Caenorhabditis elegans: one gene and its partners. Each later gene encodes a partner of the first gene's protein in a complex. Each region holds a gene or a part of one and is shown in the gene's direction. Other genes may lie near its edges.

Region 1 (5,985 bases):
CGTATCCAACGGACCTGCTGTCTAAATGTAGCGAAGATTTGAGGTTGAACTTGTGAATGTTACGAAATTCCGCAAATAATCCATTTAATTTCAGGCAGCTTCCACCTTATGTGTATGCTGGTTTCGATCCAACTGCTGAGAGCCTTCACATTGGAAATCTTCTGATTCTCGTCAATTTAATTCGTGCACAGCAGTTTGGAATACGTCCAATTGCATTGATCGGAGAATTCACTGCCAGTATTGGAGATCCGAGCGGAAAGAAATCAGGTTTTTACCTAGAAAAGCGCTGAAAACTCAATAAATCATGACCTTCAGAACGGGGTCTTCTGGCCGGCGATGTAATTATGCACAACTCGAGGAAAGTAACAGATCAGATCTGCAAGATTTTTGAGAACGCGCCGGGATCAAGCGAGAAGCCGATCATCGTGAACAATAATGATTGGCTAGGAAAGGTAGTCATTCGGCTTGCTATGATGAGAAAGAAAATGTTATATTTTTCAGATTAGTCTACGAGATTTCCTGAGAGAATGCAAGAATATGCAAGTCGGAAAGATGCTTCGAATGAATACGATAAAGAATCGGCTGGAAGTTGGATTATCGTACACTGAATTCAGCTATCAAACAATGCAAGCATTCGACTGGTACACGTTATCCGAAAAGTATGGATGTCGATTCCAGCTTGGTGGATATGATCAATTGGGTCACCTGGACTTTGGAGCTCACTATATTAAGAAAATGATGAATCAAGCCTTCGCTGCAGGAGTATGCTTCCCGATTCTGACGGATTCTACTGGTGCCAAGCTCGGAAAGTCTGAAGGAGGAGGTGCGCTGTGGCTTGATGCGACGAAGACGTCTCCGTTCCATTTCTATCAGTTCTTCGCGCAGCTTCACGATGACAAAGCGGAAGAGCTTCTGTTACTTTTCAGTTTGCAAGATATCGAACATATAAGAGATGTTCTGAAGAATCATAGGAGCAATCTTGGACAATGGATTGCTCAGAGGGAGTTGGCCGCCGAAATTACTCGAATTGTGCACGGAAAAGAAGGTTTAGAAGTGGCGATGCGGTGTACAAAAGCAATGTTTGGAGCCAAGAAGGCTGATTTATCGGGATTGTCGAGAAGTGAAGTATTGCAATTATTCAGAACAACAATTGACTTGAAAAAGGAGAATGTAAGCATCAAAAAATTAGTTGTCGAAGATTTTATTCTTTTTCTTCCCAGGTAGCAACAATGGGCCAACTCGCGGACGCATCTCGACTAGGCAGTGGGAAAGGTCATCTTTTGATGCAACAAGGAGCATTTTCAGTGAATGGAGAGAAGAAAAGATCTCCATCGGAATCAATAGCAGACGTTTTCCTGGAAAATGCCTCCGATCTCACCCTTGTTTGTTGGGGAAAACGAGGTTACCAGCTGGTTCGATGGGTTTGAATAGGTTCAGTTTTAGTTGTTATAATGAAAATAAATATTCATTTTTTTGTTGTATTTGTGGTGTCATATTCTCGGCGTTCTCTACGCTTTATTATATCTCTTTTTCTCGTTTCCAAGCATATTTTTTGTATTTTATTCCTGAATAATTTTCGGCTCGTCTCTATTCGCATGAGCGGAGGAGTAGTGCACAGCAAACTTCAAAAGCTCGTTCTCTCCACCTACCGTGATTTTTTGCGCGCCTCCCGTGGCCGTGACCCGAGCATTCGCACGCATATTCGGCACGAGTTCCGCGCCGCTGCAACACGTTTCGAGCCAAGTGACCTGTTGCTCATTGAGCATCATTTGAGAAGAAGCCAGAGACAGCTGGAAGCGATTCGGAAAGGACACATTGAGAAGATCGCAACGGTTGATAGCGCCGCGAAATAAAGGTGAATGAGTTGAAGTTTGATGTGCATTTCTCCTTTTTGCTCGTTCACAGTTCCATATTTTCTAAACTGCATGTACAATATTTCAGATGGCTGACACTCGTGAGCTTCCAGTTTTCGCCTACATTGATGATGTCAAGCAGCTCCAAGAGCTCCGTCAATACCTCAACAAGCACGATAGTGTGAAGCTTGATCCAAATGGTGCGGAAAACTTGTAAAGCTGATTTTTTCGATATAATAATTATGGATTAATCCAATCTTTTTGGATCTTTATCATTTTCAGGTCGATCGACTCTTTTTCAACATTTCTGTATCAATTTCTTTCTCAAAAAATTGAATATATCATGTGGAAACGGCAATTCTACAAAATTTTCCTATCGCACCATGTTGTTCCCACTTTTTTTAAAATTTAAATTGTTCTAAAAATATATAAAATCAATTGATTTGGCCTTAAATAGTATTTATTTTAGTTTAAGCATTTGAAAATTGCTTACAAATTGCCATTTCTCAACTAAAATCAACGATATTTTCAGATAAACAAAGTGATTTTCTATGTTTTCACATTATTTTTAATGAAAAATGTTAGAACAACATGATGCAATAGATCATTTTGTAGAATTTCTCCCATGGAAATACGTAAACTTTCAGAAAAGATTTGCGGTACAGCCCTGCTTCAGAATTTGGATTTAAAAAATTTCAGGACCATCAGAGACCGCCCAAAACATGATCGAAATCTGCTCCACTCTCAACGTGCTTCCTTCATGGTCCCAGGACGTCGATCTGGTGCTCAACTCGATATCATCTCTTATCGTCGTTGTGCCAGGCGAGAAGTGTGAGCCAGTCGTCGACTCATTCATCAAGAATGTTGCTCCACAATTCTACAAGGGAACCGGATGGGCTAGTCACGCCGGAATCGCCGTTCGTGTGCTCTCGAATTTGTACAAGGGATACTCGAACTTCCATACTGTACAGGAGAAGATCTTCAAGGCGCTCGTTGATATGTGCGCTGAAGCAAGACTCATTGGAGAGCTGGAATGCAATCTTGAGACTCTTCAAGATAGATTCAACACATGGAAGACGCCAGTCGAGGGACAACGCGAGATCTTGAGAGCAGTTCATCGTGCACTTCTTGTTGATCAGAGAGTTGATCAGGCTGCCAAGGTGGGTTTGATAAAGAACTATCGGTTTTTATACTTAGCTAGACACAAAAACTGCCTTTAAAAAAATTATGGCGGTTAAATATTGCTTAATTTCTGCTAAAGTCTTCAATTTTGCAAACTGTCCCGTCTCGCGGCTTGAACACAGTTTTTATTGAATCTTGGTCTCTTATCTCACACTGTTTTGTTGTTTGCGGTACATTTGAGGGTGATGTCACCAAAATGTTCAAAATTTGGCCAAAAACCCCAAAAGTGGACAAAAATGCCAAAATTTCGCCAAAGAATGAACAAAATTCGATCAAAATTGAACCAAAATGGCCAAATTCCACTAAAAATTGAGCTAAAATGACTAAATTGAACGAAAAGCGCGAAAAGTAAACCAAAAATGACAAAATTTCTACTGAAAATGGCCTGTAAAGTTGGCCAAAAAGTGGACCGACTTTTGTCTAAAACAACAAAGATTGGACCAAAATTGAACCTTTTCTTCATAATTTGAAGTTTCCATAATTTAACAAAAAATTACCGAAAACCACCGAAATAAGTTTATTTCTGACCGTTGGGACACGAGAAGTTGGCAAATCAGAGATTTTAGCTGAAATTAGCGAAATTTTTCGAGAGAGATTTAAATCGCCGTAGAAATTTGAGAAATTTTTCAAATCACGAAATTTTTTTTTGAGTCAATACAAGCTAAAACGCCAAAATCATAAGTCCTCATAACCTTTAAAAAAGTGTTTCCAGGTTATGACTGCACTTCTCGGAACATACACAGAAAAGGACGCTGCCGCAGCACGAGATGATGCTATGGAATGTGTTAGAACTGCTGTCGTCGATCCGAAATCATTCTCCTTTGATCATCTCGAACGACTCAGTGCAGTCAAAGCGTTGAAGACTTCCGATCCACTGATGTTCACAGCTCTCGAGTTGTTCATCTCTGGAACTCTCAAGGATTATAAGGAATTTGTTGCCAAGAATCCGAAATTTGTCACCGAGCACTTGAAGGTTGACGAGACTATTCTTCTCAAGAAGATCCGTCTTTTGACACTCATGTCGCTTGCTGAAGAGAAGAACGTACGTTTGGATATTACTGGGTCTCGCCACGCTCACAACGAGTTACTGTAACTCGTTTCGAAAATCTTGGCAGCAATTTTATTGAAATTTATGATTCAAGGGAAAAGTTTTAGTGTCAAAATAACACATTTTTATCGTTTTTCGACTGCAAAATTACAGATTTTAAGACTAAATAACGGCTTTGGCGAATGATATTACATAGACGATTAAAGAGGAGAAAATGGGTCTCGCCACGCTCACAACGAGTTACTGTAGCTCGAATTACGAACTGCTTATATGTTTTTTTTTTATTTTCGCAGAAATTTTTCATTTACCTTCCAATCAAAATTCAAGAGCACTTCTAAGCTGAAAACCTGAAATGTAAAGCTAAAAATTATAAATTGCAAACTTTTCGGATGAGAAACATCCATTAATGTGGATTTCCAGGTTAAAAACATGCAATTTTCGTAAAAATTTTAGTGTAAAAATACAAAAAACCAAAATTTCACACTTTTTTACTGCAAATTTGCAGATTCTAAGACTAAAAAACGACTTTTTCCGAATGAAAACCCGGCCAAAAATGAGGATTTTTAGGTTAAAAACCTGTCATAATCTCTTAAAATTACAATAACTCGTCTCTAGGAAATCTCCCGAAAAACCTATAATTTTGTGGAAAATGTTGAATATTCCATTTCTGTAAAGAGCGAAATCTCGAATTTTAACAATTTTTCAGTTAGAGAAAGCTCAAAATTATTTGAACACCTTTGAATGCGAAAATGTTGAATTTTCGTTGAAAAATTGGATTTTTAGCGCGCCGAGACCCATATTGCAAAAATGTGAAGTTACGATACAGTAACTCGTTGTTTGCGTGGCGAGACCCATATGGAAACGTCGGTTGGCTATATAACATTTGAAACGTCCGAATTAAATAAAAATTGCTGAATTTTTCAGGAAATCAGTCTCGACGAATTGGCCAAACAATTGGACATTCTTGCCGATGAGACCCTCGAAGAATTTGTGATCGACGCGATTCAGGTGAACGCGATTTCCGGAAAAATCAATGAAATGGCCCGAACTCTCATCGTCAGCTCCTACCAGCACAGAAGATTCGGAACGGAACAATGGGTTCTACTCGAGGTATATAATATTTACTCGTTGGGTTTCCATTTAAAAATTGATTTTTTTCCAGAAACGCCTGAAAGTCCTCATCGCAAATCTGAAGCAAACGCACAACAACGTCCATGAAGTGAATCAGAGAATCGAGGCTCTCTAATTGTTTTTTTTTCGCTGTTCTTTTTAATATATTTGTTTTTGGTTCTCCCTATCGTATTTTCTTCCCATGAAAGTCCCCCGTTTTGTTGGTTCCCTCCTCTATAATTTCTATCTCTCTCTTGAAAAATTTCCCCATAAACTGTTGATTTAAAAAAAGAAAATGTTCCCCACTCTTCTGACTTAATATGGATTTTGTTCACTTCGAAACCCGATTATTTCTATTTATCCGTCGCTTTATCTTGTTTTTTTGTTATGCGATAAGCACACGGGCGTCTCACTTTACACTGATGCTCGTGGAGCCGGAGGGACAAGAGATTAGTCTCTTCCGCTTCGATGATAATCAGATGTTTGTCACTTGACGGACGAAGCCAATCTTTGTTCTTAATTTTCAGAGTTCGGAGAAACTAGCCTTTTTTTGAAGAAAAGTCCAAAAATTCTGCTAATGAAAACGGGAATTTTAGTTAATTTTCCTTTTTCTCAAATTCTTTTTGAAATTAAATTTAAAAAATTCGAGTCATATTTAAAAAAAAACCATGCCTTCTCTATTTTGCACATTTTAGAAGTTACTGCCGCATTTTTTTTCCAGATTTTGGTACATTTTCAGTCGATAGGTGCACAAAAATTGGAAATTCGTGCGCCTATAGACTGTAATTGTAC
Region 2 (3,772 bases), 940 kb from region 1:
AATTGGAGTATTCTGTCATTGAAACCTATGCAAGAAAAAAGTTTGATTCAGGCGCATAAGAGAGCCTATAAGTGGGTGGAGACTGTTTTTTTAAACTATCTTTGTTGGGGAAACCTTTTTTTTATTAATTTCGATGGATTTAATTTGCTAAAATATGTGGAAAAATATATACTATAATGGAAAAATATTTCAAACTGCTTTTAGTTAAATTTTTCAAAAACTTTTTGGAACTAATTTTTAATTGATGTCCTAGGCTTCAGCAATCGTAATTTTGGATGTTTACCAAAAATAAATTTTTCTTTGAGTTTTCGAAATTATTAATTAATTTTATAAATTCTAAAATTTCAAACCTGCAGAGATCCATGAAATTTCTCAAAAAGGGAAAAGTTTCGCAAAAAAAATTTGGCAATTTGCCGAAACTCTGACTGAAATTTTTAAACACTCTATACATTTCTTAAGTGTATGTTTAGATTTTAATTTTTTTCATCGATTTAAAGGATTTTTAAAAATTCCTTTTGACAATGATCCATTTTTATTGTTTTTCTATAGTTCAAGACTTAATTTTTTTTAAATTTAGCCCTCTCCCATTTAAAAAATTTTTCATCTTACTAAACCCGTCCAAACCTCGTTTAAATAATGTTAAGATAAATATAAAAATAGGGCAGTAACAATTTGATCTACCTACATATAATTGTTTTTCAAATTTCTTCTGTTTCAAAAACTTCTTGAAACGGGAACATTTTTCCATTGACATTCATTTTTTTTTCCACGTCAAACTCACATATCAAAACAAAACTGTTCTCCTAAATTTGAGCAAATTCCATAGGAAATATAAAATAATTGTTTCCCAGCTGGAATAACTCGTTGTCCAATCAGAAATCCACTAAGACATGCTCCAAAATTAGTGAATGCCATGTTAATAATGACAATTGAGAATGTTCTTATAATAGACGGACTATGAAATATTGCCACGTGGAGGAGGAATAAATTAACACAATATCCTGAAACAGTCACCAACGAGTTGATAATCAGGAAAATTGCGGATAACATTTTTTCTGCGAAATGTTTTCTTGCTCAGCTTGTGGCTTTTATAAAACTTTTTGCTTGCAGTAGCAAGTATTCATGAATATTCTTCTGGAAGATTTAAGGGTCATTGATGAGGTTCAGTATTTTGTAGTATACATTCTAGACTACACCAGATTGATGATATGTTTCTGGAATTGAGCAAAAACCTTTGAACTGGAATGCCAACTTCTCTAAAAGGGATCCACAATGCAACAAGCTGGATAACCAGTCTTTAGGACATTTAAAACTTAAATATCTTATTCCGCCATAATCATTTTTAATACATTTCTCCTATTTATTTGTTCTTCTATGAAATCAAGTCTTCCAATTGTAGTACATCCGCTTGGTGTCGGTTTACGGTAAACAACGCGCACCAACGGAAAGTTGGAGTGTCGTTGTTAGAATAACAACAGATATTTTCTCATTTCAAATTTCAGATTTTTTTTAGTTTTTGTTGGTTTCAATCGATTTAAAAAAATTATAATCTGAGAATTACTTAATTTGTTTCAATTCTTCATGTAAAATCATCTCATTATCATTTTTCATGCCCTTATCGTCTTATTGATTGTATTTCTTAATAATATTAGCAAGGTAATGCTTTTTTCAGACGATGGAAGTTGATAACGTCAAGCCATCCAGCTCAGTTCCGCAGAGAAACTGGGAAAAAGAAAATAACGTCAGTTTTTCTTAAATATTTTTAGATTTTTAATATTATTTGTGTTTCAGGTCCAAAATGTCGATTCGATTTTCGAGTACAACAACAAGCAGCAAGTAGAAATCAGAAATGCAAAACCATGGGATAAAGATCCACATTATTTCAAACAAATCAAAATATCTGCAATTGCTCTTCTGAAAATGACAATGCACGCGAAAAGAGGTGGAAATCTGGAAATTATGGGACTTTTGCAAGGTCGAATCGATGCTAATTCTTTCATTATTCTTGATGTATTCGCTCTTCCAGTTGAGGGTACTGAGACCAGGTGAAATGATTTACGCTGGGAGTAATTTCGAACATTTTAAATTTCCAGAGTCAATGCCCAAGCTCAAGCCTACGAGTACATGACAGTTTATTCTGAAATGTGCGATACGGAAGGTCGAAAGGAGAAAGTCGTCGGATGGTATCATTCTCATCCTGGATATGGATGCTGGCTATCCGGAATCGACGTCTCAACGCAGACACTCAATCAAAAGTTCCAAGAGCCATGGGTTGCTATTGTTATTGATCCATTGAGAACTATGTCTGCCGGAAAGGTTGACATTGGCGCATTCCGTACATATCCAGAAGGATACCGTCCACCAGATGATGTTCCATCAGAGTATCAGTCGATTCCTCTCGCAAAGATTGAGGATTTCGGTGTACATTGCAAACGATACTACTCGCTTGACGTCAGCTTCTTCAAATCACAACTTGGTAGGTGAAATTTATATTTATCGGGAATGAATTACATAATAAAAATACGATAAAGGACAATCAACTGTAAAATCCAATATTCAAAGCTTTGTTTTTTGGATTGTTTAAACTTATTGGAATCGAATAGCTTGAAATTTTAAACTTTTAAAATAAGAATAATAATATTAAACATCTCAACGGGAAATTGGTCTCAATTGAAAAAGAAACATCTCCGATTCTTTCCCGTTTTAATAATTAAAATTCCAGACGCTCACATCTTGACTTCTCTGTGGAACAGCTATTGGATTTCCACTCTCAGCAGTTCTCCACTCTTCTCAAACGTCGAATTCCTCAACAATCAAATTCAAGACATCAATCAGAAGCTGTCGGCCGTCGATAAGAAGCTCCAATTGAATGACAGAAGTGTCGATGGACATGAAGCTTTGATGAAAGTCGTGACCGATGCAAAGGCAGTCGGAGATGAACTTGAAACTGGAAGAATCTCTCATCTCGTGAAACAACTATTGTTTGCTCGCCAAGCTGGTGGTGGCTGTGGATGTTCCCATGCTTCTGCAGGATCTCCAATGGATATCGCCGTGGCAACTGAACCCGAGAAGGCTGGTCCTTCTCCATCTGCTCCGGAGCCCGCTGTTGAGATGGCCGATGCTTAATTCTCGTTTTGTCTATATTTATAAATCAAGTCCCCCTGTTTTCTGTGTTAAATTCACCAACATCATTTTATTTGAATGAAATTTTTGCTTTTCAATGATTGATTTTTTCAAATTTATTTCCATAAATGAGAGATTCAAACGATATATGGACATATATGAAAATGTACAAGAGTAACTGGGAAGGGGAAGTCTGGGGATGGAGGAGGGATACAAGTTCCAAAAATACAAGAAAAAGAATAGATCTGAGAAATTTGAGAAAAATTGAAAATGACAAAAAAGAAGAGGAAATTGATACGATATTACGAGAGATTTGAGGATATAATAGAAATAACTGTAAAGATCATATTTTTCAGGTGTATGGGGGTGAACAGGATGGGGGGGTCGTGTGGTGCACGTATTCTTTCGTCACGAGACCCGTTTCTATCTATTTGTATGATGATTCGGAGATGTAGTCTGAGCTCCGGGCTCAAATGAAAAACTAGGATACTAATGAGAGGCGACAAGGGGATGGGGATCAGATAATAAATTATCAAACTGGGTATGATGAAGAGATGATAAAACTGTTGCAAGATAGGGGTTGCTCACTTTGTGGGGATTGAAGTGGGTGAGGTATTTCACTGGGAAATCAAAGAATCCGAAGGGAGGA
Region 3 (5,158 bases), on another chromosome or scaffold:
TAACTCAAAATATGAAACGGCCCAAGACTATGAAAGATATTTTAAGTTTCCAAGTTCTTTCTTAAATTCCAAAACTTCTTTGATTCAACAACTTTCTACTAAAACGCTCATAGCAAATCATCTGCAAGGACGAATCCATTGAGAATAATGTATACTAATCATCATGTTATAGTAAAAATTGCGTGATTTGTACAGTAAAAGGTCAGCAGCATTGTTGTGAGGACTACCCCCTTGGATTGTTGCTTGCTCTTTGATTGTTGAGCGGGCATCGACTGGAGCTCGGTATCGATTGTGCTAGCCAAATAAAAATCGATTAGAGGTGTGGCATTTGAAGAACATCAAATTTCTATAGATACGAAAGTGTCTATATGTATCAAGTAGCAGACTAAAAAAATTCCAAAAAAAATCGCCTACCCCACCTCTATTTTCGATTTTAAATAACCAGTCATTCGATTGAGCGCGCAATTGAGTGCCGCTAGGTCATCAAACAGGGCCGCTCATCGCAAAAACATAGCTTGACAAAATGCTGCTGTGTTACCGTACTAATCATGGAGAACCAAGAATCATCAATCATGAAAAAGCAAGACGATCCGCAGAAGAATAAAAAAGAACTGCTAAAAATCATTTGTGGTTTTGCCTTTAACTTTTCGTTTTATACAAGCTATCCCTTCCGTCGAAGCTGGCAGATTTTGTACCGGCAATACTCTCACTTTTTCCAATGTAAAGCCCAAACCTTTCTGTTGCACAGTCGACAAAACTCATCTAACTCAGAATATGAAACGACCTAACCCTGTCAGAGATATTTTAAGTTTTCAAGTTCTTTCTTAAAATCCAAAACTTCTTTGATTCAACAACTTTTTACTGAAACACTCATAGTCCATACTCTGCAAGGACGAATCCAAAGAGAATAATGTAAACTAATCATCATGTTACAGTAAAACTAACAAAAACACAACTCCGTATCCAGACATAGTCTTCCGATGCAATACACTCACTTTTTCCAATGTAAAGCCCAAACCTTTCTGTTGCACAGTCGACAAAACTCATCTAACCCAGAATATGAAACGACCTAAGACTATCAGAATTATTTTAAGTTTTCAAGTTCTTTCTTAAAATCCAAAACTTCTTTGATTCAACAACTTTTTACTGAAACACTCATAGCAAATCATCTGCAAGGACGAATCCATTGAGAATAATGTATACTAATCATCATGTTATAGTAAAAATTGCGTGATTTGTACAGTAAACGGTCAGCAGCATTGTTGTGAGGACTACCCCCTTGGATTGTTGCTTGCTCTTTGATTGTTGAGCGGGCATCGACTGGAGCTCGGTATCGATTGTGCTATTTACTTAAACAACTGATCGATAAATATATTTAAAATGTACTCGCTGCCGCGTTCTCCGGAAAAAAGGGCAAATGTCCGCATTTCTTCGTAAAGTCTGGTGTTTGCGTACACCCATTTTTCTTTCATTAAATATTTATAAATGCATTGATTCGCGTTTGAGTTTCAAAATTATCTCTATTTGAAATTCCGCGCAAATCTCATGGACGCGGCCTAGGATTCTCTTCGGTCGAGCGCTTGCAACGACGCTCCGTTCTCCCGCATGGGTGTTGTTTAGAGTTTGTTCATATTCCAAATATCGGTCCTATTTTTCAGATTTTCCAGCGTTTTCCAACATTTTTCCACAATTTTCGGAGAAAATTCTGTAAAAATTCAACTTATCTCGTTTTTCCTTCCATTTTCCTTTAAAATATCTCACAATTTACTCAATAAACCGTGTCTAAAGTTTCAGACTAGTTGGGTTACACAGAATGGTCGAAATTGACTTTAATAAAGAGAACGAAGAAGATTTTTCGGATCCGCCAGGATTTGTTGACGACGTCACCGATGATGGTTGGTTTTTTATTCAATTTTTTGAAATCAATTCCAAAAAATAGCCAACAATCAATGTTTTTATTTCAGTTCTCGTTCCTGACGTTCTCCACAAGAAACCAACTATCGATGAATTTGAAGACAATTGCGTCTTCATCGCGGGAATCCCAGTTGTTGGAGCTGACCGTCTTGGAAAACTCCAAAGTGTACTGAAGAAGGTTCTGGAGAGGTTGGATCCTGCAGTGAAGCTCTACATTCCGCCAAGTCCAGAAGGAGGTTGCTTGGTGAGATTCACGCAAACGATATCGATTTTAATATATTTTTTCCAGGGAGTTCTGCTCACCGAGTGGGCCGATCAACGATCCGCTCAGTTCGCCGTGAAAAGTTTGAATGGATATGCTTTCGATAAGAATCACACATTCACCGCCCGTTCTTTCAAGGATATGAAGCAACTCGAAGCTCCTTCCGATCACTGGACAACTCCAGAGAAGCAGGCTTATAATGACGTTGGAGATCTCTGGTGGTGGCTTCAAAACGAGCGTTGCCGTGATCAGTTCGCAATTTCCCACGATAAACTTGGAGTTCCAACTGTCGGAGTGTTCACCAATATGAAGGGAAATGATCCAGAGCTTGCAGGAGATGCCGATAAGGCTGAAAGAGCTGTAAGTTTTGAGAATTATTTGTTTTTAAAAAATGAAATAATTTTTTTTTCCAGAACTGGACCGAAACCGTCTTCACTTGGTCACCACACGGCTCCTACCTTTCCACGATCCATAAGCAAGGAATCATACTTTGGGGAGGCAAAGACTACGCTCGTGCCCACCGTTTCGCTCATACCAACGTTCAATACATTGATTTCTCGCCGTGTGAGACCTACCTTGTTACCTACGCCGCTCCGGAAGAGTCGAACAGCTGGGGAGACTGTGAGAAGGATAGTTTGAGAATTTGGGACGTCCGAACCGGAGAATTGAAGAAGGCCTTTTCCACTTTCGAGCTCACCGGAAGAACTCAGCTCCCAACCTGGCCATTCTTCAGATGGTCATTCGATGAGAAGTACTTCGCGTGCCTCAAGGCTCCAGAAAAGGATAAGCTTGAGCGTGAGCAGAAGATCAACGGAATTTCGATCTTCGAATCCGAGAAGTTCGAGCTCTATGAAGGCCGTCCCGTGAATATCGAGAATATCAAGCAATTCGAGTGGTCGCCAACATCCACAGTCCTCGCCTACTATTCAGAGTGCACTGACGCCGTTCCAGCCGAGTTTGGACTCTTGCAAGTTCCATCAATGCAGAGACTTCGTTCGGCTCGCGTTCACAATGTCGCCGACGCTCAGATGTTCTGGCAGAAGAGCGGAAAGCGATTGGCCTTCTACACGATGAGATTCAAGAAGAAGGAGTACAGAGAGACCGGAGAAGTCAAATATGTGGTAAGTTTTGAGTTTTTTAAAGGATTTTTTGAGGCCTATGACAATAATAATAATAATGATATAATTTCAGGGAGGATGCCAATACCACGTGGACATCTTCGAGATTGACAAGAAGGACGTTTCCCTTATGAATCTCCCACTTTCGGAGCCATTCATCCATTTCGATTGGGATCCAGAAGGCGATAAGTTCTGTGTGCTCGTGGGAAACACCGCTAAGGCCACTCCACAAGTCTACAAGATCGAGGCTAACAGCCACGCACCGAAGCTTGTGAGCAAGTTGGACGCTGGAGTTCACTTCAATGAGGTTCAATTCGCGCCGAAAGGAGGATGGCTTGCAGTTCTCGCCAAGGTGTCAGCTGGAGGAAACGTCTATTTCATTGATACTTCTTTGTCGGAGGCCAAGAGAACTAATGTTATAGAACATCCACTCTTCAATAAGGGATATTGGGATCCAACTGGAAGATACTTTGTGACATGCTCAACGTTGGGAGGAAGAGCCGGAGCCGATTTGGGTTACCGAATCTTCACATTCCAGGGAAGAGAACTGTGCAGAAAGAATCTCGACCGGCTCGCCCAATTCAAGTGGAGACCACGGCCGCCGGTGAAGTTGAGCGAACAGAAGCAGCGTGAGATCAAGAAGAACTTGAAGAAGACCGCCGCCAAGTTCATCAAGCAGGATGACGACGAAAAGTGCAGAGCCAGTCAGGAGGTTGTTGAGAAGCGACGCAAGATCATGGCTGCCTTCGATATTATTCGAAGCCGGAATCGCGAGCAACTCGACGCCACCCGTGACGAGAGAATCTCTCTTCGAAACGGCGTGGACACAGAAGCCCAACTCGACGAGGACGAATTTGTGGATGAGGAGATTACCATTGCGCTGAGCACAAGCAAAACACAAGCCCCTCTGACGGAGGAGGAGATGAGAGACTAATTAGTTATTTGATTTCCCGGTTTTTCCCCTTTTTTATGCGCTGCTTTTTCTTCCTGATTTCTCGAAGACTTGGAGCGGCGTCCCCTCTTTTTGGTGGTTCCACCATGTACTCGTTTTCGTTTTCCTCTTCATTTTCCCAGTCATGTCGTCATTTTCTGAACAACGCCTTTTTCTATGGCAAATTTAACTTTATGATGCCTGAATGGAGAAGGTTTTTTCAAGCTTCTTTTGGGCGGCCCTAATATTATTTAATTGTTTCTCTCTATCCACTTTAATATCTCTTGTTGCTCCCGTCTCTCCGTGTTTTCTGGTGGTTTTTGCCGATAAAATGTTGATGAATTAGTTGATGTTTCAGATTTTTTCCAAATAAACAGAAGTGAAAATTCATAAATTATATTTTTCAGCGCTATAAAATTGTGATTCTGAAAAAAAAATTCCACGTTTATTAAAAATTCCACAAATGGTGCAATGTGACGTGACGGTGTATGCACACTTTGCATTAAATTTGACGACAAATGTCTCATCGGGTTTTCTGTCAATTTTTAATCCACTTTCTCTATTTTACTCTGTTCTTTTTATACTTTTTTAAAATAAAATTTCTATAAAAAACTTTAAACTTCAATTTTAGCAATTAACCCGTTCATGCACTCATCGTTTTCGGAGCCAAATTCGCCGTTGAAAGAGGTGCTCGTAGATAAGTGGCAGACAGCCTCATGCAGCGATTTGGGCGAAGAATATGTAAAAGTAGGGGTTTTTAATGAGAAAATTTAACGAAAAAAAATCAATTTTTCAGCCGGGACCCCTGGCGAGAGCAAAATTCAACGCGTTGCGAAATAAACGCGAAGCAATTGATCGATTTTTGAAAAAGCACCGAAAAGAGGATCTCAGCTTATATATTGGTAATTTTTATTATAGAATTTGAATTTAAAT
Region 4 (4,299 bases), on another chromosome or scaffold:
GGCATGTCGGATGAAAAGAGACACTGAAATAATATTTTTTGTTATTTTCAGAAACTAGTTTTATATGATTGGGCGGCAAACGATTTTTTCCGGCAAATCGGCAAATCGCCGGAATTGAAATTTCCGGCATTTCGGCAAACTGTGCTGTTGCACTTTTTATTGGAAACTTCAGAATTTCAAGTTAAAGACGCGAAATTGTACGCCTCCTATTACGGGAACACAAAATTCTGATGATGCGTATTTCACAACATATTTGACGCGCAAAATATCTCGTAGCGAAAACTACAGTAATTATCTAAATGACTACTGTAGGTCGATTTAAGGGCTCGATTCTCGAAATGAATTAAAATTATTTATTCATCGATAGATATTTCCAAAATCAAGCCCGTAAATCGACACAAGCGCTACAGGAGTAATTTGATGAATTACTGTAGTTTTCGCTACGAGATATTTTGCGGGTCAAATATGTTGTGTAATACGCGTTCTCAGTATTTTGTGTTCCCGTAATATAAAAAAATATGTTCCTACTTCTATTTTGAAAAGTAAGGAAATTCTATGAAAATATCTAGAAAAACGGGAAAACATTTCAGATTGCCGGAATTGAAATTTCCGGCGAATCGGCATTTGCCGAAAAATCAAATTTTCGGAAATTCGCCGAATTTTTCGAAAAAAAATTTGCCGCCCAGCTCTGATATGATTCAGTTGAATATATTACCGTTAATGAAGATGTTCTCTTCCTCTTTAACACAGGAGTTAAGCTATTTCCAATTTCCATTCGTATTGGAACATCAAGGGACTGGGCCTCTAATCGTGGCATTGACCCGGATCTTCGGTATCTTTTAACTGGAGAACCAGGTGTTTCCACATCTTCTTCTTGCCTTCGAATCCTTTCAGGCGTCTGTCTCAACAGCATTGATCCACTACTAGATCGACGCATTGGCGGTGTTACTTGATCTTCCAGGCTTGGAATACTCTCCGGAGCCAGTTTTCGGATCGGTGTCTGGTGGTCCTGTTCTATCCGCAATGGAACCATTGGCTTTTTCTCCATTTTTATGGGTAATGCACTAGTCTTTGTTCGAGTTAGACTAGGTACACCGGCTCTTTTGAGACTCGCTGCTACAGAAACCATCGATGTTGAATGGGATAGGAAGGATGAGGACGATGATGGTGGTGGGATTGTTCTCTGAGACTATTATGAATATTATTAAACAAAAATGCTGGAAACTTGAGGGTTTTACCTCCAAAGAAATTGAAAAAGTCGATTTCAATTGGCTCATTCCCGCCATTCGTTTTAATCCTCCACGTGGACTTGGTGGAACCAATGGTGTCTGAAACAAATTTACAATTATTTTTTAATATGCATTTGGTTATAATATTAAATCTTCAAATGGATTCCAATAAAGCTAGTTTATTTAAGAATTGTGTTTTATTGATTTTTTTTTCATAAATGCGCTTACCTTTATTATTTCATTATTTGTAGGTTTATTAGGGTCGTTGGATGCACTCGATTGCATCTGAAAATATACAATTTCTCTTAAAAAGTTTCAAAAAGCATTTTAAAAAGTAAATCCCAAAAACAAAAGAACGACAAAAATTTGAATTCAAATCAAAAGATCACGCGCGGGTACGGTGTGCAATTGTGTGCATGCACTACAATTGACGCGCAGTTGCACACAACAACGGAAGGAATTAATTTCGTGGAGTGTTTCCTATTTTCAAGATTTTATTGATTATTTTGAGGTTTTTCTCGCCAATTTTCTGAAATTTATATTTTTAATTTTCTTTCGAAAAATTCGTGATGCTTAGATTATTGATTTTTCCTCTTGTGAGATGCATGTTATTGTTTATTGTTCTTTAGAAAATTTGAAAAACTAAATGCTCATCTTTCAGGGTTATCAAAAATGTCGACAGCAGTGACAATTACCGCTCCGAGCGTCAAGCATATCCTTTTGGATTCGCTTGTGGTTATGAAAATTGTGAAGCACGTGGACAGTGAACTTCATGCAGGAATTAGTGAGGTATATTATTTTAATTTAATTTCAAGCTTAACATGTAATTTACAGGTATCTGGAGACGCTTGTGCCGGAGTTCTCACCGGTCTTGTTTTCCTTGAAGATTCTCGCTTGGAAATCACCAATTGCTTCCCAACAGTTCGCAACGAGCCAGTTATGGATGACGATGCTAATGTAAAATTAGCTCATGCTAGTGATTCCAATATATTTTCTATTATAGGCCGCTCAACAATACGAAGAGCAAAAGCAACACGAGATGCTTGACATGCTCCGCAAATTCCGTACAATGAATATCGATTACGAAATCGTTGGATTCTATCAGTCTCATCAATTCGGAGCCGGTTTCTCACACGATCTCGTAGAATCTATGTTCGATTACCAGGCTATGGGCCCAGAAAATGTTGTTCTTATTTATGGTTAGACAGATTAATGAGGATAAATAATTAATTCTAATTGCTTTCAGATCCAATCAAGACTCGCCAAGGACAGCTTTCTCTAAGAGCCTGGCGTCTTTCCACCGCTGCTCTTGATCTCGCTTCAAAGAATGACTGGAGACCAGAATTGTATGGTTTTTGAGTTTAAAAATATATTTGCAAAGACATATCTTTTCAGGGTGAAAGCCGCTGGTTTGACATACCAGAACATGTTCGAGGAGTTGCCAATCATCATCAAATCCTCATATCTCAACAATGTTCTCATGTCTGAGCTTTCACTCGCTAAATCATGCTCTTCTGACAAGTACTCCACGAGACACTTCGATTTGGGATCCAAGAAGTCGCTTGAAAAGTCGGTCCGAGCTATGATGGCTAATGTTGATGAGCTGAACAAGTCAATTCAGTCGTTGACGAAGTACACTATTGACAAGCAAAGACATGATAATATGGTGTTCAGTCTGACGCAGAAAAGAGTAAGAATTTCGAATTTTGAAATTAAAAATATCCTGATTGTATCGCTAAAATTTATATTCCGAAGTGTAACGGCTTTCAAACCTAAAGTCTTGTTTTTTGAAAACCATTTTCCAACATATCGAGGCTCCACTAACTATAAAACCGGATGTGAGGGGTACATTTTCGGTGGAATAAAGGTGCCATTCACGATTTTCGAAAAAAAAATCTCTATCATTAAAAATTTATATTTTTCCAATTTCAGCAACAGGAGAACGAATCACGTGTGGCCCGTGGTGATCCAACAATTCCAATGGATGACATCAAGAGAATCAAGGCTCCACAACTCCAAACAAGAAATGGACTTTTGGATGAGCTTCTCGCCAGTTTTGACACCAACGCTCTCGCTGACTTCTCGAAGACTGTGACCAGCGAAAATATCACGAAAATGTTCATCGCTGAAGCTGTTGCTGAGGAGAAAGTCGCCGGAACAAAAGACAGAACTTTGAGCTCTGTCTCATCGACTCGTTAAGATTCCCAAATATACTCGTGTTTTTGTTTCCTCCCTGTTCCCTTTAATTTACTTTTTCTTTTCTAAAATATTTTTCTCTCGGTGAAAGGAATTTCATATTACATAAAACTAGTGACATAAAATAATGTCTCACTTTCAATATAGGGATATTGTTTTTCATCCAAATTTTTTTGCCGTATGAAATTCCTTTCTGGTATCCTTTTCCACCTTCCCCTATTTCGGATGAATTTTTGTTGTTGACTAATAGTAAGTTAAGATTTTAAAATTTCTATTGGTATTGTTCTTTTTAATTGAGTTTTCAAGTTTTTTCAATCAGTAAATCAAAAAAGTTAACAAAAAATTTATTTGTGAAACAAAAACAAAACAACCTAAACCTAAAATTCACCGGAATCACAATCCAATCAATCACCAAAGTAATCCTCCCTTCTTTGCTCCGTTCTCTTTCACAATGCTCTTAGGGTCCAAACGAGCGAAAATCTCAAGACCCGCACTTCTCTCCACAGCATCCAATGGAACATGGAACTTGGAAATTTCTACAGTATCCTCGATGACTGCGTTTGGCAAAATATAGGATTCCAGCTCGAATTTGCCGGGTGTCACTTCGAAAAGAGCAACTTTGAAGAAATGAGTTGGCACTGCAACGTTATTATCACCGATAACTTGATACTTGATATACTTTTTTCCATCTCCTTCAAGTTTTGGAAGGTAGAGGGGACCGGTGATTATGTAGGAGTTGATCATCTTTTTTGCGACTCTTCTGGAAATTGTAGAAAATTATTTTTAGTATTGTAAAGAAAAATCTTGGTACCAGCTGGTTTCAGACTGGGCTGTAGATTTTTCGTTTTTTTTTCTCAAAAAAATTTTCCAAAAG

The links.
Region 2: cif-1 (region 1) and csn-5 share a complex: the UniProt entries of both Caenorhabditis elegans proteins name them as parts of the CSN complex.
Region 3: cif-1 (region 1) and eif-3.B share a complex: the UniProt entries of both Caenorhabditis elegans proteins name them as parts of the eukaryotic translation initiation factor 3 (eIF-3) complex.
Region 4: cif-1 (region 1) and eif-3.H share a complex: the UniProt entries of both Caenorhabditis elegans proteins name them as parts of the eukaryotic translation initiation factor 3 (eIF-3) complex.

The regions. Positions count from the first base shown.
Region 1 is NC_003282.8:4,706,350-4,712,334, reverse strand, and holds cif-1 (COP9/Signalosome and eIF3 complex-shared subunit 1), read left to right. Parts: upstream 1-1,579; 5' UTR 1,580-1,855; intron 1,856-1,941; coding exon 1,942-2,053; intron 2,054-2,552; coding exon 2,553-3,013; intron 3,014-3,747; coding exon 3,748-4,077; intron 4,078-5,007; coding exon 5,008-5,193; intron 5,194-5,245; coding exon 5,246-5,329; 3' UTR 5,330-5,481; downstream 5,482-5,985. Other genes in the region: yars-2 (Tyrosine--tRNA ligase), read left to right, coding at 1-43, 95-267, 316-452, 502-1,170, 1,221-1,427. UniProt on the Caenorhabditis elegans protein: Component of the eukaryotic translation initiation factor 3 (eIF-3) complex, which is involved in protein synthesis of a specialized repertoire of mRNAs and, together with other initiation factors, stimulates binding of mRNA and methionyl-tRNAi to the 40S ribosome.
Region 2 is NC_003282.8:5,647,861-5,651,632, forward strand, and holds csn-5 (COP9 signalosome complex subunit 5), read left to right. Parts: upstream 1-1,672; 5' UTR 1,673-1,675; coding exon 1,676-1,741; intron 1,742-1,791; coding exon 1,792-2,045; intron 2,046-2,093; coding exon 2,094-2,476; intron 2,477-2,722; coding exon 2,723-3,126; 3' UTR 3,127-3,219; downstream 3,220-3,772. UniProt on the Caenorhabditis elegans protein: Probable protease subunit of the COP9 signalosome complex (CSN), a complex involved in various cellular and developmental processes.
Region 3 is NC_003280.10:14,793,616-14,798,773, forward strand, and holds eif-3.B (Eukaryotic translation initiation factor 3 subunit B), read left to right. Parts: upstream 1-1,788; 5' UTR 1,789-1,813; coding exon 1,814-1,895; intron 1,896-1,964; coding exon 1,965-2,158; intron 2,159-2,203; coding exon 2,204-2,536; intron 2,537-2,589; coding exon 2,590-3,297; intron 3,298-3,367; coding exon 3,368-4,228; 3' UTR 4,229-4,620; downstream 4,621-5,158. Other genes in the region: tbc-20 (Rab-GAP TBC domain-containing protein), read left to right, coding at 4,871-4,972, 5,022-5,127. UniProt on the Caenorhabditis elegans protein: RNA-binding component of the eukaryotic translation initiation factor 3 (eIF-3) complex, which is involved in protein synthesis of a specialized repertoire of mRNAs and, together with other initiation factors, stimulates binding of mRNA and methionyl-tRNAi to the 40S ribosome.
Region 4 is NC_003279.8:4,442,829-4,447,127, forward strand, and holds eif-3.H (Eukaryotic translation initiation factor 3 subunit H), read left to right. Parts: upstream 1-1,890; 5' UTR 1,891-1,901; coding exon 1,902-2,018; intron 2,019-2,063; coding exon 2,064-2,186; intron 2,187-2,232; coding exon 2,233-2,428; intron 2,429-2,475; coding exon 2,476-2,575; intron 2,576-2,624; coding exon 2,625-2,919; intron 2,920-3,161; coding exon 3,162-3,428; 3' UTR 3,429-3,785; downstream 3,786-4,299. Other genes in the region: C41D11.3 (Cysteine/serine-rich nuclear protein N-terminal domain-containing protein), read right to left, coding at 1-23, 716-1,189, 1,239-1,328, 1,458-1,514; cps-6 (Endonuclease G, mitochondrial), read right to left, coding at 3,834-4,185. UniProt on the Caenorhabditis elegans protein: Component of the eukaryotic translation initiation factor 3 (eIF-3) complex, which is involved in protein synthesis of a specialized repertoire of mRNAs and, together with other initiation factors, stimulates binding of mRNA and methionyl-tRNAi to the 40S ribosome.